2 linked regions of the Rhinolophus ferrumequinum genome follow. The protein of the gene in region 2 purifies or fractionates together with the protein of the main gene of each other region. This does not show direct contact. Links are inferred from orthologs where the notes say so. Each region holds a gene or a part of one and is shown on either strand. Other genes may lie near its edges.

Region 1 (10,643 bases), on a different chromosome or scaffold from region 2:
GGGAATCGAACCAGCAACCTTGGCGTTATTAGCACCATGCTCTAACCAACTGAGCTAATCGGCCACCCCCTGTTATCAGTATATATTGAGTATTAAAATTTTAATACAGTTTTTTCCTTTCTTAAAATGTGTATACATTTTTTTGGCATCCTCTGTATGCAGTAACAACAGTGAATGAAATGTGAGTTATCTTTAAAATATGTATTTTATTGCTCTGTTTATGTAATTCATGTAAACTGCAAAAAATTTGGCAAACATACAAAAATTGTACACAATTTTTTTAAAAACTCCATAGTCTCATAAAATTTCTAAGCATGTATAAATTTAAATACTTCTGTATGATTTTTCCCCTACTAACACTACAACTCTGTTAATATGCTGTGAAGTAGGGTTCTAAATATTTCAAAGGTAAATTTGATTAGGTGCGATTTCACTTTATATGCTGACTTTAGAATCCAGCCTCGGCTTAAGATTCAATTGCATTACACTAAGATGTCCAATCAGGAATGATAATTGAGAAGAAAGGTCTGGAAAAGGCATGGATTTGGGTTGGCAATACCTTGCAAGTGTCTAGTTAATATTTGTTGAATGAATAAGTGGATGAAATTTATATTTGAGTCATCAAATAAATTAAATTGAGTGTAAATTCTTGAGGGTTTTCATCCCTTCTGTATGTATTTTTCAATATAACTAGAATAATCTTATACACATTGTTTTATAACCTGCTTTTAAATAATAATATTTATTGTCTTTATTTGCAAAAGTAAAACATTTTCACTGGAAAAAAGGTCAAGGACCTATAAATAAACGCCACTTGTCAAGCAGAGCCAGAAATACAATCCGTTCTTTTTCTATTCATTTATATTTATAAAAGAATTGAATTGATAAGTAAGACTATTATATGATCTGCTTTAAATATTACATTATTGTCAACAATGTTACTTTTCCCAGCAAAAAAGCATCCTAGAAGAAAAGATTTCTCACTGGATAAAATTTAGGAAAAAGAAACCTTCTTTCCTGTGTATCATTAGTCCTACAGCTTGACTATCTCAAACGGTGATTGGAGGGAGACAGAGCATAAAGAGGAGAGCTTCATTTTAATGCATACTAGTCACAAATGGGCCAAGAGAAGCAAATGTGAAGTATTCAACCATTGCAAGGACCCCTTCACCTCAAAGAGGTAGTGGAGGCCTTAAATAAGATCCTGCTCAGCTACAGAGAAGTATATATGCAAAATATGTGTCATAAAATAAGATCATATACTATTTGCAGACTATTCTTTATTGTAGAAGCTACACATATCCACTGAAAACATGTAGAAGATTCTACTAAAAAGCATATAAAAGAATATATAAATCACCTATAAGCCACCAACCATCCAATAATGCCCACTTCTAATGTTTTGGTACGTATTATTACATAATATTTTCTATGCATGTATACATATAAATACCTACATATATATTATTTTTACAAATTGGATCCTCGGCAGGTTACTGTTTGTAACCTCTTTTCATGTGCCAATATATTACAAATACTTTCATTTCAATAAAGATATGACTGCCTTATATTTGCCAGATATTTTATTTCTTCTGCATGTTTTCAAAATTTTATCTCAATCATTTTTCTAAATATTATGAATTAATATATGCCCATTAAAGATAAAATTTAAATATATAAATGCAACATTTAGAAAAGTTCACTTTATATTGAATACTCATTTCAAATATATCCTATGGGAATAGTTAAGTATGTATTCATTCAAATTTCTAATATGATGTAGAAATACAGTAATACCCCGCAGTAACTTGGCACTGGATATAACATAATTTGTGATGGGGCCTGGAGACAGGGGAAAACAGAAGGGTGATGATTAAGCTGAAGTGCTGAATAAACAGTTATGAGGAGGCATCAGAACACAGCTGAGTCCCTGATGGATTTGGATTGTGTATTGAGCTTACCAAATATGCTCACATCAGTCTTTCCATTCATATAACCCAAAATTTTACAGGAATAAATTGTGTAGACTTCACTTACCCCATTATGGTGGAATTTCATTATATTCTCATATTTTAAATACACAAAAATAGATATATGTATGCTGTGACAAAATGTATTAACCTTCAATTTGCCTTTTTCTTAACAATATACGCATATGATGGGCATTTTTTCATGTGAGTAAATATAACTCCACATCATTATTTTTTCATCACTGTGTAGTATTGCACTGTATGAATAATCAAACTTTTCTTAAACCAATCCCCTTTTAGGAATATTTAGGGTTTTTACTTTTAAAAAGAAAATCTATTACTACAACTAATGCAATGACCATATTTGAGATGGGAGTATTTCTGCATGATAAACCGTTAGAAGAGGAATTGATGTGTCCAAAAGCACATATATTTTAAAGTTTGAGATTACCAAAATGACCTCCAAAAATGTACTATTTTATTCTTTGTTTTTGTGTTTTGCTTATATTTTCATTTATTTATTATTTTTATTGAGGCATGATTGACATATAACATTATATTAGTTTCAGGTGTACAAAGTAATGATTTTATATGTGTGTATTGCAAAATAATCAGCACAATAAGTAGTGAACATCCATATACCATTTTATATTCTCAAAGCGCATGTAAATGTTTTTCCATATCTTCACCAACTGTGAGTATAAGCAGTATTTTTCATCTTTTCTAATTGCACAGGTGAAAAATTAACTCTCACTTTTGTTCCCAATAGATCTCATTTTAATGTTTTCTTAGACATCTATGATATGGTTGTTACATAATTTAACCTGTTCCCTATTGTAAGACATTAAAGTTTCTTCTTAATTGTTTCTACTATAAGGAATTGTGCTGAATATCTTAATAGTAATTTTCCATTTGTAAACGGTACATACCAGTGGTGCAGTTTGAATTGTTTCAACAGAATTATAAGTTTGCCTTTTTTATCCTGTAGCATAATCATCTGGGAGAATCCTCAGTTTATGAGAATGTGTACATACACGTGTGAATGTGCATATACAACCATGTGCATGGTTGGGTGCATATCTGCTATTTCCTAGAACAATTCTCTTTCCTTCTGCTCCTTCATCGTTGCTTTTCATTTGTGGCTTCTCTTTGTATATTCAGGTCCAAGTCAAAGGATTGATACTACGAATTCAGGTCTACAGACTTTATTGTAGTAAATCACTGTGACTGCCACTAAGTATTTTCTTAGGATGTATACCTAAGAATGGATTTACAGATTCGGAAAGAATGCATATTTTCAGTACATAGCAATTGCCTATGTACTATCTAGAAAGGTTGACTGATTCAGATTCCATGACCTAGAAATAAGTGAGAAAGCCCTTGGGGGTAGTGCAGAACATGTCCAAAAATGTTTGCAGTGAACCTGCTTTCAGACGACAGCCTTTGTCAATAGACTTAAGCACCCCTAAGGAGGAGCAAGTAGACCTCTACCCAGCAAGGCAGCATGAGACAAGGCAGGGTAATGGTAAGGACACAGGGCCTAGGTTCAGTCAGACTGGTCTCCTCTGTCCTTCCCACCCTCCGTCTGTCTCTTGCCCACCCTCTGAGGCCCAGGTCAAGGTCGTTTTCCTCTTTGAGGCTGTCTCTAACTAATCGGCTAACTGGCTATTGACCTTCTCTGAGCTCCAGTTGGCCTAACAGTCTACCCTTTGCTTTAGCTCTTTCTCCAAATGGCTTCATGTGAGGGTTTGCAGTTATATTATCTATTCCACCCCTAGGGTGAACCCACAGAGGATATGGCCCACTCTCAGGAGGATAGACCTAAAGAGGCACAAGCAGACCTTGGATTTGGGCTCCAGATCCTTTGTGCAGGATATTCTATGGTCCTACACATCTAGAATGTGGTCTAGAAAGAAAAAGGTAAAGGCTCCAAGTAGGAACATTTTCTTATCCCATTGACTCTTCACTACTTGGGGAAGAGGGCCTCGAGAGGAGGGCCAGACACTGACCCTCTAAAAGTGTGGCCTCAGGAAGAGCCCTTTTCTGCTCAGATCTAAGGAGATAATGTCTTGGGGCATATTGCTTAAACCCTCCATTTAATTTCTCCATATACAAAATGGAAATGAAAATATCTTCCTTACAATTGTTGTTAGGAGTATAAAATGAGATAATGGCAGCAAAGCACCTTTCTCTTTTCAGGACATTCTAAAGATTTCTGGAACCATTTCCATCAAGCTGGAGAAAAACAACTACCATTCAGGATGTTTCAATCTTCCTAAGTGTCCTGGCATAGAATTAACCCCTGGTCATTCACAAACGGTGAAAGGATTCACAGACCCAAAAAAAAGTTATTAAAGAGCAAAGAAAGTTATTAAAGTTCAGGCAGAGAGAATGCCCATGGCAGTGTCTAAAGATGATGGCTGCCACGGGTAATAAGGAGAGAAATACTGGCGGGGGTAGAGGGGGTTGGGGTGGGGGTGAGGGTCGTCGCCGGGGCAGAGTCTTAGAGTGGACAGCTGCACCTAACTTCACGTTACATTTTTCTTATATAGGAAAGGGGAGTCAGTCAGGCAGGTCTGAGGGCTAACATTGCTTCTTGGGGTCTGGTCTGTTTTAAGATAATGTTATCTCCAGACTCCGGACTTGGATTCAGCCATCGCATCGCAGCCTGGAACTTTATGCGTCACCAGTAAAAACTGCAAGGGAGTTGTAAATTCGATCCCGGTGTCCGGTCGCCTGAGGATTAAGAAATTGCTCTTTTGGGTTATGATTCTGTTAATTAAATGGATTCACGAGGTATGGGTAGCCTTGAGAAAGGGAACAAAACACTTCTCAAGTTAATCAGTGAGGGAAGAAACAAAGAAGAAACAGCTGAATATCAGGATGGATCTAACTGCAAGCTAAATTTAACTACAGGTAGCTAGATAGCGAGCTATGCAGTGAGTCAAACTGCAAACTAGCTAAGTCTAACAGCGTTATTGATTTACCAGATTTCACCCTTACATTAAGGACAATATATTCAACTGTTTTGCTAATCACATGCTGCTTTCTAAAGTTGGGAGGTTACTTGTGCTTTTCTGTTTTAGAGGTAAGGCCAATACAGAGAGAGTAACTTACTAAGGGTCACACACTCAATTTGCAACAAAGTGAAATGATCAGCCTCTCTGGCTGCATCTTGCTCAAGCCTGCTTTGTTCCCATTACCTTCAGGTTGATAGCTTCTTGCAAAGAGACATGCTAATCATTGGAGGAATTCTGCTTGTAGTTTGAGGTTTAAAAATACAGTCCCTTGCCAGAGGGTGACTCTCCTGAGGAGATAAGGGAAGTATGTATTGTTTATCGAAGATTTGCAGGAACCTCGTGAGGGGACTCACATAATCTAGGGTCAACAGACTAAGCACAATCTTCCCCAGATCCCTGCTGGGGCCTCGATGTCTGCAGTCATCATTCACCTCTTGCCCCTCCCATTTCCCCTTCCTTCGACATGAAAGAAGCCTGACTCTAATTTAAGATGGATTTGAGGATTAGGTCTCTCATCTTCTCAGTTGGTGTCTACTCCATCAATAAACCTTTCCTTACTCCGAACTCTGACATTTTGAGTTTTGGCCTTTCAAAGTGTCAGGCACAGGGACTTTGGACAGATAACAAGTTCTAGGTCTGGCACTGGGACTAACATCTCCTGTCTCTCACATCAGGGTTCAGTCCAGCAGAACCAAACCATTATATCTTGGGTTTTCTGATGTTCAAATACACATGTTTCCCAGAAGATAGAATAACGTGACAGAAGAGCAAGTGAAACAAAATGAGATGCAGTCAGGTTTTTTTTTTCTTTACACATAATCTATTGAGGTTTTTATTCTGCCTCACAAATGGGCATCGAAACTTACACAAGACAAAAATACATGTTTATATCTCCTGTTATTTTTCAAATGTTACCTCTGAGAGCTATGCAATTTTTATTGGCAAATTTGTGATTTTTACCAAAAAATGAGGTGAGGTTGAAAGGTAACCAATATCCGTTGAAGACTTTATATGACTGAAGTGCTTTGCACCAAGTGTTATCATTTAGAATTCCCACAAATTATGAGGTGTATGTTATTATTCCTTTCTTCTAGATGAGGAAACAATCGATGGTTCTGCAGGCAGCACAGCTTCTTGGTAAATACCATCACCAGGAGTCAAACATTACTGTTTTTTTCCATTTTGAATAATTTTCCCGAAGTGAAATCCTAATATAATTATAATAGCTTGTACTTTTTAAAGCACCATATGCCAAGCACTATTCTCAGGGCTGTATATTCTGACTATTAAAAAAAAATGCTACTTAAAAAAAAGAATATAAAAGTATTAGGAATAAAGTAAAAATATCATTCAAAAATCTCATTCTTGTCCCAGACTTTGTTTTTTAAACAACCTGCTGCCAAACCAGCTCTGCTCCACAACAGCCAAAGACCAGATTGTAGATGAAATGGAGGTTGGGGGAGGGGCGATGGCTGTAGCAGTTCTTAATGCTGGGAGCTGAAGGCAGGAAGAGATAATTCTGTAAAAAAGTAGAAAAGTTTAGTAGCTCCAGCAAAAGATGTAGTACCTCCCTAGTAATCAGAGATGGGCAAATAAAAATTTCCCCTCTGGAATACGGGACAACAAAAAAAGACTGACAGGGTCAAACGTATAGGGGTGGGGCAGAGGGCGGGATTACTTCTGCCGCGTTTTTGGTGGGAGTGGAAACTGGGGACCCGAGCTCACTGGTGACGTAGGTCTCACGTGACCAGGAGTCGACGTGTGCAGAAGTCCTGCTAGTTTGGTCCTTGTTCTCGCCTGGGTACCAGCTTCATTCTGTAGCGCGACTGCGGGGCCTGAGGCCAGGGAAAGGAGAAAGCCAATCTGCCGGAATTTTGCAGGTTGGTGTTCAAATACGTGCTGCTTGGGGATTTCTAGGGTAGAGGTGGCCTAGGGCAGAGATTTGAAGGAGTCCTGGTCATGTCCACCTCTCCACCTCCGGGTCTGCAGGAAATAATGACCTTTGGGAAAGGGCCTAGGGATCTCGGGAGAAGGACAGAGAGACCTGTGATAGTTTTAAAATCCTCCTCTGCCATCTCAGACCGCTTTCCCAACACCTACCCTCCCCCCAATCCCCGCCTCAGTCTTAAACATAGTTTGGAAATAATATGCTCTTCCAATTCCTTGTCTGATGGGAAATTCGAGCTAACTTGCACTGTTGAGAGGGGGAGAACTGGAGGAAACAGAAGGTGAGAAAGTTTCCATAACCGAGAACCTTAAAGAGAAAAAAGGTGCGTGGTGCTGGTCACCAAGCGCTCGCCCCACCCCCCCTCCACTCTCTCCTCCCTTCCTCCCTCCCCCTCCTTTTTCTCGTTTGTTCGCAGATCTGCAGGTCTGTTGTTCATAGCACTGAGCAAAGCTAGAAAAGACGAGAAAGAAACTGACCGGATCAATACTGGTAGGTGAGAGGATATATTATAAAGACGCCTGGGGGAGTGGGGGGGGAGGTGGGCGAGGGCGGGACAGAAGTATGGGCCCCAGGGTCTCTCCCTACCCCAACCCGGAGTCTCCCAGCCTACTCTGTTCTGGGAGGGTCTTCTGTTAAGTCCATGCGGGGGCAGCGGGGTGGGGGATGGTTGAGGAGGGCCTTGGAAATGGCTGGAGGGAGGGAGCAGAGAGCAGTGAGGAGGTGTAAAGTGGAGGTAAGAGGGGCCTCAGGGAAATTGTTGATTGAATCTCCTGGGTGGAAGATATTTGATGATAGTTCTGAATAAAAGAAAAGCAGATGCTGAGACTTATGTCCAGAGCACCAGTCCAATCACCAAGCCTTTGACTGACTTACCATCTCCTTGCTTTCTAGAAGTAATTGTATTCAAAGAGGAATAAGCAGAGAAAAAGGAGGAAAGGAGGGAAGAGAGCCACAAGATGAAACCCTGTCAAAGTGAAGGAAAACCAGAAAATGAGAGCGAACCAAAGCTTGAGGAAGAGCCAAAGCCTGAGGAAAAGCCAGAGGAGGAGGAAGAACCAGAAGAGGAGGAAAAAACAGAAGGAACTTTTAGAGAAAGGCTGATTCAGTCTCTCCAGGAATTTAAAGAAGATATACACAACAGGCATTTAAGCAAGGATGATATGTTTAGAGAGGTGAATGAAATAGATGAGATAAGGAGAGTAAGAAACAAACTTATAGTGATGCGTTGGAAGGTTAATCGAAACCATCCTTACCCCTACTTAATGTAGTTTATCTTGATTTTTATTCTTTCTGATACTAACATTGCCATATAGCTTTCTTTTGATTTGCATTTTCCTGATAAACATTTGTCCATTTTTCTACTTTAACTTGTTGCTTGCTATTAGTGGTTTTAGATGCATCTCTTCTTATATTGCATTCTCACAGTTTATCATATTTTGAACCAATCCCCAAGTCTCTGCCTTTTAATAGGAGAGCTTTACTCATTTGTACAAAAAGAAGTTCCTGACAGGATATAAAATGAAAAAAACGTTACTAAGTAATATGTGAATATCATATTTTTAAAAGGGAAGAGTACATTTGTATATTGCATATATGCACAGAAAAACGTGTGAAGGATGAAAGACAAAAAAAGTACAGTCAGTGGTAGGATTATGAGTGATTTTTAAAATTCTGCTTATTTGTATTTTTCCTTATTCTTAGAATGTACACACATTATGTTAAAATAATAAAAGTTTTATAACAAAAAAAAGTAACCAACGGCATTTACCAGTTTATTTCTAAAGGCAATGCGGCATTTGATATTTCTTGACAGAATTTTAGAAGCAAATGTAAACTCCAAATTACCACTAGACCACCTAGCTAGAAGAATGAATTTTACAACTTATCTGTAAAATAGAGATGATAATGATCTCTAAGATATCTTCTGAGGATGAAATAAGGATATGACGGTGAGCTGTATCTGACAGGTTTTTTCCCCCTGTCTGCCCATGCAGGATCCCAACTCCCCAAGAGATTTGTTTCAGCTATTTGGGAGGGTGGAGAAAGTAGTTCTCACCTGTGCTTAAGAACAAATCCAGGCCAACTGTTAGGTGGGTGCCACCTTTATGTTCCTCTCCTGCTGTGCCTGCCCAACCTCCCAAACCCCCTCCCCTTGATACCACCATGTATATTGGACATTCCTGCCCCTTCTTCCACATCCTATACCTTTCAGGCCCCTATCGCTGCTGATGTTTTGGAATTCTCAAATAGCGAAGCCCAACATTTCTTCAGAAACCCCCATGGGCTGAATTCCCAGATTGACCTCTACAGAAGTGGGGAGAATGGCCATATTTTCAATTTAGACAGACATTTATGCAGGGTCACTTGGGCCACGATATCTTACAGATATCTTGGCAACTTGGGGATTTTAGTCATAAGTCTCCTCTTCCCCATAAGACTACGGGTCTATTTGGGGGGGGTTGGACCAGAAGACAAGTCTGACTAACAGTATTATGCTTTAGTGAGTTGCTTCTCTGAGTCTAAAGAGTGGTTTTATCTTCCTGACTCTTACTTTCTTAGTGTAAGTGATCTCTTCCAGAAGACTGGTGCCAGGCCCTCCTCACTAGTTCAACAGGTATTCCTCAACCTGTGTAAATTGTAAAGGGAGGTTCAAGTCAGATTTGGGGATATTCCCATCTTTACCTGGAAACATGAAAGTGCTATGTAAGACAGTGTGTCTACATCAAAATCTATATATGTATAGATGGCTCACAGTTGTGCCAGTTGTGTTATTTTATTATTCCTTTGTGCTGCTCTTTTTGGGGCAATTCATGTCTCCAGACTGTTGTTCAAGTATGCAACACCCTGATGGATGGTGGTGGGGCTGGATTCCGGCAGGAGTGTGATGAGGGTCCAGGAACTCACCGGCAGTTTTACAGACAGGACGAATCCATCCCTCTGGCACTCTGAGTGATGGCACTCAGGCTGGATGTGGAAGGGCTCACCCCAAACACAATCCTCTCCAGGATGGTCTGACTTCGATTTCTCTGCTCCAGCCTGCAGCAGGCACCAGACCCTCCTAGACTGGTAGAATTGCTGTGCTGGACATTCTTATCTGGAGGACAACAACTGTCACCATTACATGTCAGAGCACTGGACTTCCTTTCCCTCCTTTTTCCTTCACAAGCGGGCTTCATGGGAAATTTTTGTAGGGAAGGAGGTAAGACGTCAAAATTCACTACCAAAAAACATTGGTTGTGATAGTCTTTGTTCCAGCCATGACTACTCTGGATATAATCAGTTAACTTGGGGTTACAGTAGAAGGGCCTGGTGGTAGGTGGAGATGATTTTAGACAGTACACAAACATTTTAAATTGTAATATCCATGTATATTTGAATGTGTATTAATGAATACTCTGTTTAAGGTAAATGATGATAGTTTAGATTTAAGATGATGTTACAAAGTTCCCTTTTGAAAAGAGTATTCAAATTAAATGAGTCAATTTGAAAACAAACATGAGAATTGAGGGTTGCTAGATGGGGGTGGTGGGGATAAGGGGGGAGGTGACCACAGTCAGTAACCACAAGATGGCCACGGGGTTACAAAAGTCAGTTTGGGGAATGTAATCAATAATGTTGTAAAGATTTTGTAGGGTATCTGATGGACACTGGTCTCATTAGGGAGACCACCTCAGGGATGATGTAGATGCCTGATCACTGCACTGT
Region 2 (10,522 bases):
CCCTGGCTTCCATATTGTACTATAGTTATATAAAATGTAACCAGTGGAGGACACTGGGTGAAGTATACACAGGAATCTCTCTGCAACTTCCTGTGACTCTGTAATTATTTCAAAAAGATTGTTTTTTAAAATGCAATTGATGTAAAAAATCATCCAACAGTTTGGGAAACATGAGAGAATTTATAAATTTGTTGAAAGGGGTGATGTAACGCTAAGTGCACACCAAAGGAGGATAATGGGTGATCATGGTGCAGCCTGGAAAGAGCTGGAGTTTGTCCAACTCCCCAAAATATAGTCCAATCAAACATTTATTGAGTACATAGTACATGAGGACAGTGCTATAAATAGTAGCAGGATTAAGAAAAATTAAATTAATTTACTCTCTAAGCAGATAAAATAGAGTAACTATTAAAGGCCTAAGAGTCTCTGAAAAAGCAGTTCCCTTTGCTTTTAGAAAAATAAAATGCTCTTCTATTTTTCTAGTTAATTCTTACTCATCCTTAACTCTCAGCTCATTGTCACATCTTCGGGGAAACCCTCCCTAACCTCACTGCCCTCCACCGTAGATCATATTCCCCTATTACCTGCTTATAACAGCACCCTATATTTTTCATTCATAACACTAACTGCCATTCATAAACAAAGAACTGTGTGACCATTTGAAATCTACTTCTCCTATTAGGCTAAAATCTCCAAAAGGGCAGACACAGGTCTGTGTAGCTCGCCACTGTATTCCCAAACCCAATGCCATGTAAATGACAGAAGCTCAAAGCATATCACGTGAATAAATCTATACAGAGCTATAATTCATGTGTACAAACAAGCAGGCTGACAATAAGAGTTACTGGGGTTTGGGTGAACCCTAGATCACTTCAACTTGAGAAAGCCAGTTTACAAGGGATGGAAGGTCCACATAGAGGATAAAGAATCTTACATCCGAAGCTGAGAATGAAATGTCAGCCCTTCAGCAATAAAAACCCATTAAAAAACTGAAAAAGGGCATGGCATATCCAATGTATTGTACAGAAAAATTAATGTAGAGAATGAACTTGAACTTGAACTGGGAGGGTAAGACACTCGAGGCAGTAAAAAATACTTGCAAGGACACTGTGGTAATGCAGGCCCAAAATGATAATGTTCTGAATGAGAGGGTGACCATGGGAACAGACAGATGTGAGAGACACCAAGAGTAACGAGCTAACAGAATGTAAGGACTGATTAGATACAGGAGCATGAAAAATGGAAAGAGCCAGAGATAATTCAAGGGGTTTACAGTAAGTTATCAGTTAAAGATACCATGTTTCCCCGAAAATAAGACCTAGCCAGATAATCAGCTCTAATGCGTCTTCTGGAGCAAAAATTAATATAAGACCCAGACTTATATTATAGCTGGTCTTATAATAAAATAAAACCAGGTCTTATATTAATTTTTGCTCCAAAAGACGCATTAGAGCTGATTATCTGGCTAGGTCTTATTTTCGGGGAAACATGGTAGTACCATTAACAGAAATGGGAAGTCATGACTAAGTCTTCTTAGGAGATGCAATGTGTTTTGTTGAAAGTGATGGATAACATCCAAACAACTGAAGACGTGACATTAGATGGACAAAAGTCAAGGCTGGCAATGTACATGTGTGAGTTGATCACAGTTATGGTCACAAGAGTGAATAAGACCACTAGAAGGAAGAACCTATAACAGGCCTTGAATAAAAACCCTTTAGAAACCATTTGATTTGCCCCTCACACGAATTCCGTTGAGCAGCGAGTCATTCAGACTGTGAGCTCCCTGAGAGGCATATCTGATCTCATCCTTGCATTCCCTAAAGTATATGTTACAGGGTGTTGTACATAACTGGTGCACAATAAGTACCCTATTAAAGAAATCAATTATTTTAAAGATAATTTGATTACTATTTCCTGTTCCACTTGCACGTTGAGTTTCAAAAAGTGACGCCCTGGGCAGTACTTTGAAATGAACAGGATTCACTTTAAATTAGTATAATCAGTGAGTTTTAAGTCACTTATTCAAATCTCTGATTTCCTAAGGCTCTAGGACTGAAGAATGGACAGACCAGACTTTTGGACTGTAAAAACTTAAAAAAAAATAAGAATAATAAAGCCCCCAATGAGACTAGGGCTAAAGTAAATCCCCACTAGAAGTAGAGAATACTCTTCAAGAAATTTTTTAATAAACTTAAACAGGAAATATTATTTACTGAAGGCATGAAACAAATCAAAATTTTCAATTGTATGCACTATACAAGTTAACAAAAATTAAAAAATTAAAGAAGCTTCAGGTGAAATAAAAGACAGAGGAAGTAAAAGGGAACTGAGAACAGTCAAGACACGTACTTTCTTAAAAAATGAGGGGAAAGTCGTTGGCCTGCTCTCCCACAAAACATTCCTGGCTATTATAGTCAGAGGTGGAGTAATCGGCTAATCTGATTCAATACTTAGGTGAACAGTATTCCCCTAGTTGCAGTTTAAAAGTAAGAAAAAGGACTGCTAAAGTGGATTAGGAGACAAATTTATTGACAGCTCCCCTCCCCAATTAAATTATCAAGGTTGCAGTATACCAAAATGCTCTAACCCTGAATGACAAGCAAATATCCTAGGTGCTTCAAGATATCTGAGTGTGTTTGTGGGAGAAGTTAGGGAAGAGAAAAGAAACCAGTTGGAGTCACAGACCCTAAGAATCTGACTAGTCGTCTGTAACCCAACTACCCCCTCAATATCAGACTGACTCTTCCAGAAGTCTAAAAGATGGTCAACCAGTGTTTGCCTGCTTGTTTCCAGCAATAGCAAATGGACCGTTGGTAAACGGATCACTCAGAGTTGGATGGATCTAATTTGTTCCAAAACCCTTCCAAGTTATCGCCCAGTAACTTTCACCTCTGGTACTGGTTCTCTCTAGAGTAACATAATGAAAGTCCTGTTTTGTTTTTATTTTTTATGCTAGGGAAAAAACACACACAAAAACTAGGTATTACTTCCTGGCATGTCAATACGTTCTCTTCTTTCAATAATAGGAAAATTTGATCTGTTGTTTCAACGTCTGACTCCCCATGAAGAAAAAAAAAAAGAAATGCTAGGCGAAGGTTCCTTTAGATTCAGAGCTGCGACCTCCAAAGTAAAGAAAAGGGACTTAAATGACTACATACACTGGGAGACGTTGCAACTGATATGAAATCCCCGTTGCCAAGAAGCTAGCTGCTCTAGCCCGTGCCCGGGTGCTGAGACGCGACAGAAGCCACACAGACCTGGCCTGGCATCTCGGAGGCTGTGGAGCCTGCACCTCTTCTTGCCAAAGCCTCGGGGGGCAGAGTGGGCGCTAGTTCTCAGGCCAGCGGCAAGCCCGGCGCCTTACAGGACAGAGCCCTGCGCCCCAGAGAAGCGGCACCACTAAGAGAAAGGCTCAGTGAAGCGCCTGGCAAAGCCAGAGCCGCGTCGCCAAGCCGGCTGCCCGTACGCCCAAGCACCCCACCCGCTGGACGCCGTCCTGAGAACCGGCACGGGTAGGAGCTCCGGGAGTTGGAGACGTCTCGGGCTCGGCCGGGGTTCCGTCTATCACTCCCGCCCACCCTCTCTCACACCCCGGCCCAAAGCTGAGCCGGAGGCGACCCTAAGGGGTGGTGCCCAGGAGACACGCTGCGTTTTGGGTGAATGCTGCGAGCCGGGCCCGAGCTCCCGGGTGGGCGGCTGCGGCGGGTCACTCACCGAGAGGACGCTCATGCGGATTGGGGTCTCCAACAGGCACGCCATCTTGAGCCTTCCCACCCGGCTACAGCCGGCGCCGGCGCGGGGGCCGGCACTTTCGACAGCGAACTCTTGGGCCAATGACAGACACCTCTGCAGAAAGTCGGGCAGGTAGATGAGAACGGAGCACGGTCTACACACCGCTGAAGTACGGCCAGGGCCCGCAGAAGGGAAAGCAAATGGAAACCGCGCCAGAAGCCTCCTTACGAATCGTCCTCTCAGAAACAGCAGCTACTCTCAGCCTGGGTTAGAGGTGGGAGCGGGCAGCAGTTTCCGCATGCGCAAGGAAGATCTGCCGGCCCCACCTGCCGCTCGCGGTGGGCGGAGCCTCAGGGGCGGGGCCTCGCTCTGGCGCTACGAGCCTCGCAGACTGGTTCGTAGCAGTTACGAGTTCGCGTATTCATATTACGCAAAACTGGTCTGTGGTGCCACATACATAATTTGAAATTCACTTTTACATTCATTATCGCTTTCTTTGCACCAAACTCCTAGTGTCATATGTCTACTTTACAGATGGAGAAACCGTGATCTCAGTACTAGGTCGTCTGCCACCAATGAGAGTGTTTCACGATCCAACACTGACGTTTGACCTGCTTTAGCATTGTCTGCCCTATCTGTTTATTCTGGTGGTGTGTTAAGAATAGATACTCTAGAGGCAGAACGCCGGGTTTAATCCTTTCTACTTCATTTATTAGCTGCATTACCTCCAGCAAGTTACTTAACCTCCTTTAAGTCAGTTTTCTGTTTTGAGGATGGAGAATATAAAGCTCTTAAAAGTAGAAAGCGTTATTATGTCAGCGTTTCTCTAGCCTCTGAGTCAAGCAGAAAAAAAAAATAGGGCAAATGTTGGAGTAATTCACACCAAAACGCTCCGATAACTGAAGCCAAATAAAAACATGCTTCTAATATAGTATTGTTGATTGATTAATTCAGCTCTCCACTCCGTGTGTGTGTGTGTGTGTGTGTGTGTGTGTGTGTATACAAAACTGCTCTGGACTTGGCTGGACAGGTTTCACCTCCGTGCTGTTTGCAACCAGTAAGGTTTTCACAGGATGGTTGCAATGAGCCTGTCACATTATTTGTCTTCCTTCCATTTCTATAGCCACTCCGTAATTCAGGCAGTTATTATCTCTCCCCTAGACTAGAGCAATAGCCTTCCAACTGATCCTGTAGACTCTAGCCTCTCCTTCACTTTACTCCTTACTACTTTCCTATCTTCCCCTGTACATGGTTTCTAAATTTATCATAACATTAATTATCCTTGCTTATGGGTTTGTGTGTCCCTAACAAACTGTTGAGTTTCTAGAAGGCAGGAATTTCTTTTTAGATTTTCCTTCTTCTACAGCACTGTTTCCCAAACTTCATTAATCTGCATACCATCCACACAATCTTTGCCAATCTGCATCCAGGTATTATTACTCAGTGTTTTTCTTTAAAGCCAATTTCAACTCATTAAATAAGCCTCATCCTAAACCGTAGTACTCTGTAAAGTCAAGTTTATTGTGTTGCTTATTTTTATTCTAGTACACATTAACATAATAACCACAAAAAAGTTAAAATGTCCATCCATGTATTACCTAAAATCATGTCATGTACTGCATACCACAACAGAGCAGAGCATAACACACAGAGGTATCAATTGAGTATTCAGTTGACATTTGTATGATATGGAGTTCTTCTAGCTGTATTTGATCCGCTTCATCCATTAGCTCAAGCAATGTATACCTCCGAGGTATAGGTTAGGTGACTCCTCCCCCATGTCTTCATGCATCTCTCTATTCTTGCCACTTGAACATAGCATCTCCAACGATATATTGTAACTTTTTTTGTAACCATTTATTTGTTTGTTTCCCAATTATACACTTTGGGGCAGGAACTAGGAATTTTACCTTCTAGATCTTTTATCTCACTACCTAGCATAGAACAGTCACTTAGTAAATGTTTGTTGAATGAAGTTTGGCTTAGTTTGGGCACCCCCAAAGGCAGATCCTGGGACAATGATTTTGGTGCTGATAGTTTGAGAAGTTTCTGTTTCCAGGGAACAGAACTGATGGGTAAAGAAGAATGAGAAAAGAAAGAAAAAAAGTCAATATCAAGGTTCATTGTTGAAGTCACTGCTTATTCCTTGAGGACCTCTGAGAAAACATACAGAATGCTCCCCTGAATATCCCTCTTGAGGTTGGAGCATTTATTCGCTACTCTTGTCTTGTACTGGTTGAGAGTTTTACCAGGGCTGTTAACTCCCTTCCCTCCTGAATTGTACTTGTGCACAGAATAGAGAGGACTTCCTTAACCTGATGTAGAAAAGCAGAATCTGTATGCTTGCTTTTGGGGTGGGATACAGGCAGCATGAATCTGAGCTTACAAAAGAACCATCATTACAGCTGTGGGTGAAATCAGAGTGAGGAAGGGCTAGGGAATGTGACTCAAGGCATCCAACATCTCTGCTACCCAGGCTTTCCTGTTTTATTTCCAGAAGACTGATGTGACTATTTTACAAGAAGGAAGCATTGATTAGCAAGTTCCTAACCTTGAGAATCAGGAATCAAAATTTGCTGCTACATAACCTTAGGTACACTCTTCAAACCTAAGTAATGAATAGAAATTGAGGGGGAGTAAGAGATTTTGATTCAGCCTCCACATACCAAAAACAAGAGTTAACTTTTGCCCTGTGGGGTGGAACGGGAAATATCCACACTGATTCCCCTGCAAATAAGAATGAAATTTCTCCCCATCCTCCCTTGACTCTTATCTGAAAGCAATATTAATTTTTGAAAAAATAATGAAAACAAAGGGTGAGTTTAATTTTTTTTTAAAAAAGTAGAAATGCAAAACATTAAGTAGCCAGAAAGAAATCTGAAAAGTATTTATAAATATCTAAATGGAACTGCCAAGATAAAGAAACAGCACCATATTTTTGAAAGTAGAAACATACCTATGCAAAAGGAGCAAAACTTAAAAGTGTAGAAAGGTAGATGTAAACCAAAAACTGAATGGCCTCAAAGGAATTTAGAAGAACCTTTAAAAAGATTTGAAGACAAAGGAGCTTCTTCAAATAAATAAAAAAGAAAATGGACTAAGATATCTATAGAAGCGATATAGTTCAGTTCAACAGACATGAACTGTGGGTTTACCTGTGCACACATTGTATGAGGGATTCAAAGTGGAGTCGAGATGTGGTTTCTGCCTTCAAGCAGACAGGAATAAAAGTGAGACCCTGAGTGGTCCAATAATTAGCTTAAGGTTGCTCAGGGGGTAAGAGGCTAAAACCATTTGAATCCAGGCTTCTCTGTTTCAAAGTCCTTCCCAGAGCTCTTACAGTCCTCTGGGATCCTACAGGACTCTCCCACATGGGACAACTGAGCACTCACCTGAGTAACCAGCCAGTTAGAAAAGTCTACAAGGGCTTTGCAATGGGAAACAATGCATCCATAATTCATCAGGTGCTTGGAGGATGTAAAATATGTATATGTATAAAGCAGAAGTAGTAAGCTGTTGAAAAGCCTTTTTTATTTTTTAGAAACTACAGTAAAAAAGGAAAATGATTTTAAAAAAATAACTGAATTACTGTTAAGGTAGAATTCCAAATTCCAAAGATAGATGCGATGATGGAATTTGGAAGCCATCACTTGACAACCATATGAGTTATAGTCATATCAGGCAAGGCTCATCAACGGATGCTAAAACTAATTGGTGAAAATATGGTGAGAAACAGGATTATGTGTACAGCCTCAAAGTATCTCCTCACAAGTTACTAATGATAGTAGAGAAACTTGATAGATACCGCTTTATTCAGATGATTATAATGAATATCACGAGTAATGGGATAAATAGACACCATCATATGATGCACTGAGAAGGACACAACATCACTTCTGTGGTATTCCTGTCACAAATGCACGCGTGCAATCATGAGGAAATATCAGCAAACCCCAACGGAGGGACAGTCTACAAAATTACACATCCTTCAGCATTGCTGTGACAGACAAAAACTGAGGAATTCCTCTAGATTAAAGGAGACGAAAGTGGTATGAGTACTAAATACAACTTGTGATCTAGGACTGAATCCTGGGTAAGTGAAAACATTTTTCTTTTTGCTGCAAAGGACATCAATGGCAAAATCTGAACAAAATCTGTAGATGAGGTATCATTGTTAATGTCCTCGTTGTGATAATTATATTATTGTTAGGAAGGTAATGCCCTTGTTCTGAGGAATTACAAGGGGAAGAATTTAAGTGTAAACAATATTGAGTTGCTGTGGATTAAGCAATTATTTTTTCTTTAACAATGAAAAACGGAACACATTTTGAGAATTTAAAAAAGAGAGAGAGGACTAAGGATCCTGGAAATTTATTCATTCGAGAAAATATATATACTGGATACTTACTATGTGCCAGCCACTGTGCTCAGAAGTGGTAATACAATCATGAGCAAGATAGACACCTTCCCTGTTCTCACAGAGCTCCCAGGCAAAAGGTAAAGAGAGACAAGTGAACAAATCATTAAATGTGGTATGATAAGTTAAAGGGTATGAGACGAAGGGAAACCTCAGCAGGAGTGAAGTCACAGGAAGTCCTTCTGGTGCAGGCAGCACCCAAGCTCTGACCTGAAGTATAAACAGGAGCAGACCACGCAAACCCTGTGTGCTACTCTACATAGACTCTGGCTTGTCCATAAACATTAATCGAATTGAACAATTAAGACACCACTTCTCTATACTTAGATGTGGGAACTCTTATAGAGAAAAATCACAGGCCCAAAATGGCATCACTGGTGATAAAAGCCAATGACACCAAACCTAGAGTTAATACCCGATCTAATTGCAGTTTTATCCTCTCCCAGAAATGTAATCTTAATCAAATCATCTGGAATTTTCTGGTCAAACACCAGTAAGGTAATCTTTGGGCCCTCAAAGAAAGGCCCCATTCCCCCAAAGACAGAAGAGGCAATACGCATGATAAAAACTCTTGCTTTTTGTTGTCTTCTCCCCAAAAAAGAAGACGTCTGGTCTAAAAATAATCCTTTCTTTTCTTTTGTCTATAGCGCTCTTGCCCTACCCTTCTTCCAATAAAAACCTTCCTTCTGTACAACGACTTGGAGTAATCTTACAGGTGCTAGATGGCATGCTACTCTTCAAATTTACTCAGTTGAATTTTGTGTTTTAACAAAACACTGGCAATCCTACAAAATTAGTGCAAAGACAAGAGCTCCAATTATTTATAGGAAAAGAGACACTATAAAATCAGCAGGTCTTCACATGGCTATATAATCTGGATTGCCCAGGTAATAAAAAGACACCCCTTCCCACCCCAAAGCAATGGTGACCACGTTACGCTGATGTGTTTCAAAATGGAGAAGCAAAGATAACAAGGTAGGCAAAGTAAATCTGATCTTTTCACGATTTATAATACAGGAATGGAATCTGGAAGTCTTAAAACCTATAAAGGAGAGATATTGTGTGTGTGTGTTTTCTGATGAAATCAGAAAGTCCAGTGAAATATCTAACAAGTTTCCGATTCAGAGGCTAGAGACACCACACAGAATTCTTAGGCCTCTGTGATATTTGCCTCCATTCAGTTTAGTTTCACCACCACAGACGGGATCTCTCCTTCAATGGTTTTACTTAGTGTGCTGCCATCAGGTGGTGGTAGCTGCCATAATCACCTACGTAGTTCTATTATAAAATGCAGATAGTAAGGATGGTGTTTTTCCTGATGTTTGTAACATTTTATAACCTGACTTAAAAATTTATTGCCCAAAATTTCCATTTTTCACTCCCTTAATCATAAAGGTTTCTGCTCAATTATGTCACCTTAAAAGCATGGTCTTCCATAACCACCCTATATTCATTCATTAAGTACTTAATATACTGGGTACCTACTATGTGCCAGGCACTGTGCATTTCTTATCCCCTTATTCTGCTATATTTATTTAATTTTTTTTAATGTTTTTGTTGGGGAATGTTGGGGAACAATGTGTTTTTCCAGGGCCCATCAGCTCCAAGTCAAGTCATTGTCTTTTAATCTAGTTGTGGCTCAGCTCCAAGTCCAGTCGCCGTTTTCAATCTTTAGTTGCAGGGGGCACAGCCCACCATCCCATGTGGGAACTGAACCAGCAACCTTGTTGTTGAGAGCTGGTGCTCTAACCAATTGAGTCATCCGGCCGCCCCTCTGCTTTATTTTTAATCATCCATCTTTTAAACAAAGTTCTTCCTTTCTGTGTCCTTTATTTTTATCCAACTCTTATTTGGCTGAATTTCACTGTCAAGTCACTTTTTTCAAGAAGGGCCCATGAGTATTGTCTTCCTGGAGGTTTTTGTTTTGTGTAGTTTTGTTTTATGGTTGAAAGCATCTGTTTATTGCCTTTTACTTTAACAACACCTTGACTACTACAAGGTACAGTAAACCAGAACCCATTCTAGGTATTTTAATCAAAAAGATTACAAAATTGCTGGAAGGACTAAAGATGCAAACAAGGAGGGAATATTTTACTTGAGATCAGAAAAGCAGGAAGTTCACCACCACAGAAGGAGTTTGGAGTGTGCAGCTGCCATCACCATTGCCAGAGCCAGCAGAGCAAAGAATCCTTTCTTTTACCTATAATTTCTGACAAGAAAACCATTCTCTGAGGCTCTAAATTAAAATATAGTGGCCGGAGAGTGAGAGAAAAGAACAGTTAGCCTATTGCTAGCGATGGACTGGCTCTGACAAGTCCTGTCACCCCAGGAGCCTCCACTTCTTATTTACACACGAATTTTCCAATCTGC

The links.
Region 1: the proteins of ARMC8 (region 2) and TCEAL9 purify together in Homo sapiens (affinity purification with mass spectrometry; 3 studies listed by BioGRID and IntAct, with this or other methods). This does not show direct contact. The link is inferred for Rhinolophus ferrumequinum from reciprocal best matches to the Homo sapiens genes ARMC8 and TCEAL9.

What each region holds. Positions count from the first base shown.
Region 1 is NC_046284.1:51,647,488-51,658,130, reverse strand, and holds TCEAL9 (transcription elongation factor A protein-like 9), read left to right. Parts: upstream 1-6,728; 5' UTR 6,729-6,870; intron 6,871-7,353; 5' UTR 7,354-7,427; intron 7,428-7,829; exon of another isoform or gene 7,830-7,832; 5' UTR 7,833-7,894; coding exon 7,895-8,206; 3' UTR 8,207-8,645; downstream 8,646-10,643. UniProt on the Homo sapiens protein: May be involved in transcriptional regulation.
Region 2 is NC_046300.1:37,364,677-37,375,198, reverse strand, and holds the start of ARMC8 (armadillo repeat-containing protein 8), read right to left. Parts: upstream 4,339-10,522; 5' UTR 3,763-4,338; coding exon 3,718-3,762; intron 1-3,717. UniProt on the Homo sapiens protein: Component of the CTLH E3 ubiquitin-protein ligase complex that selectively accepts ubiquitin from UBE2H and mediates ubiquitination and subsequent proteasomal degradation of the transcription factor HBP1.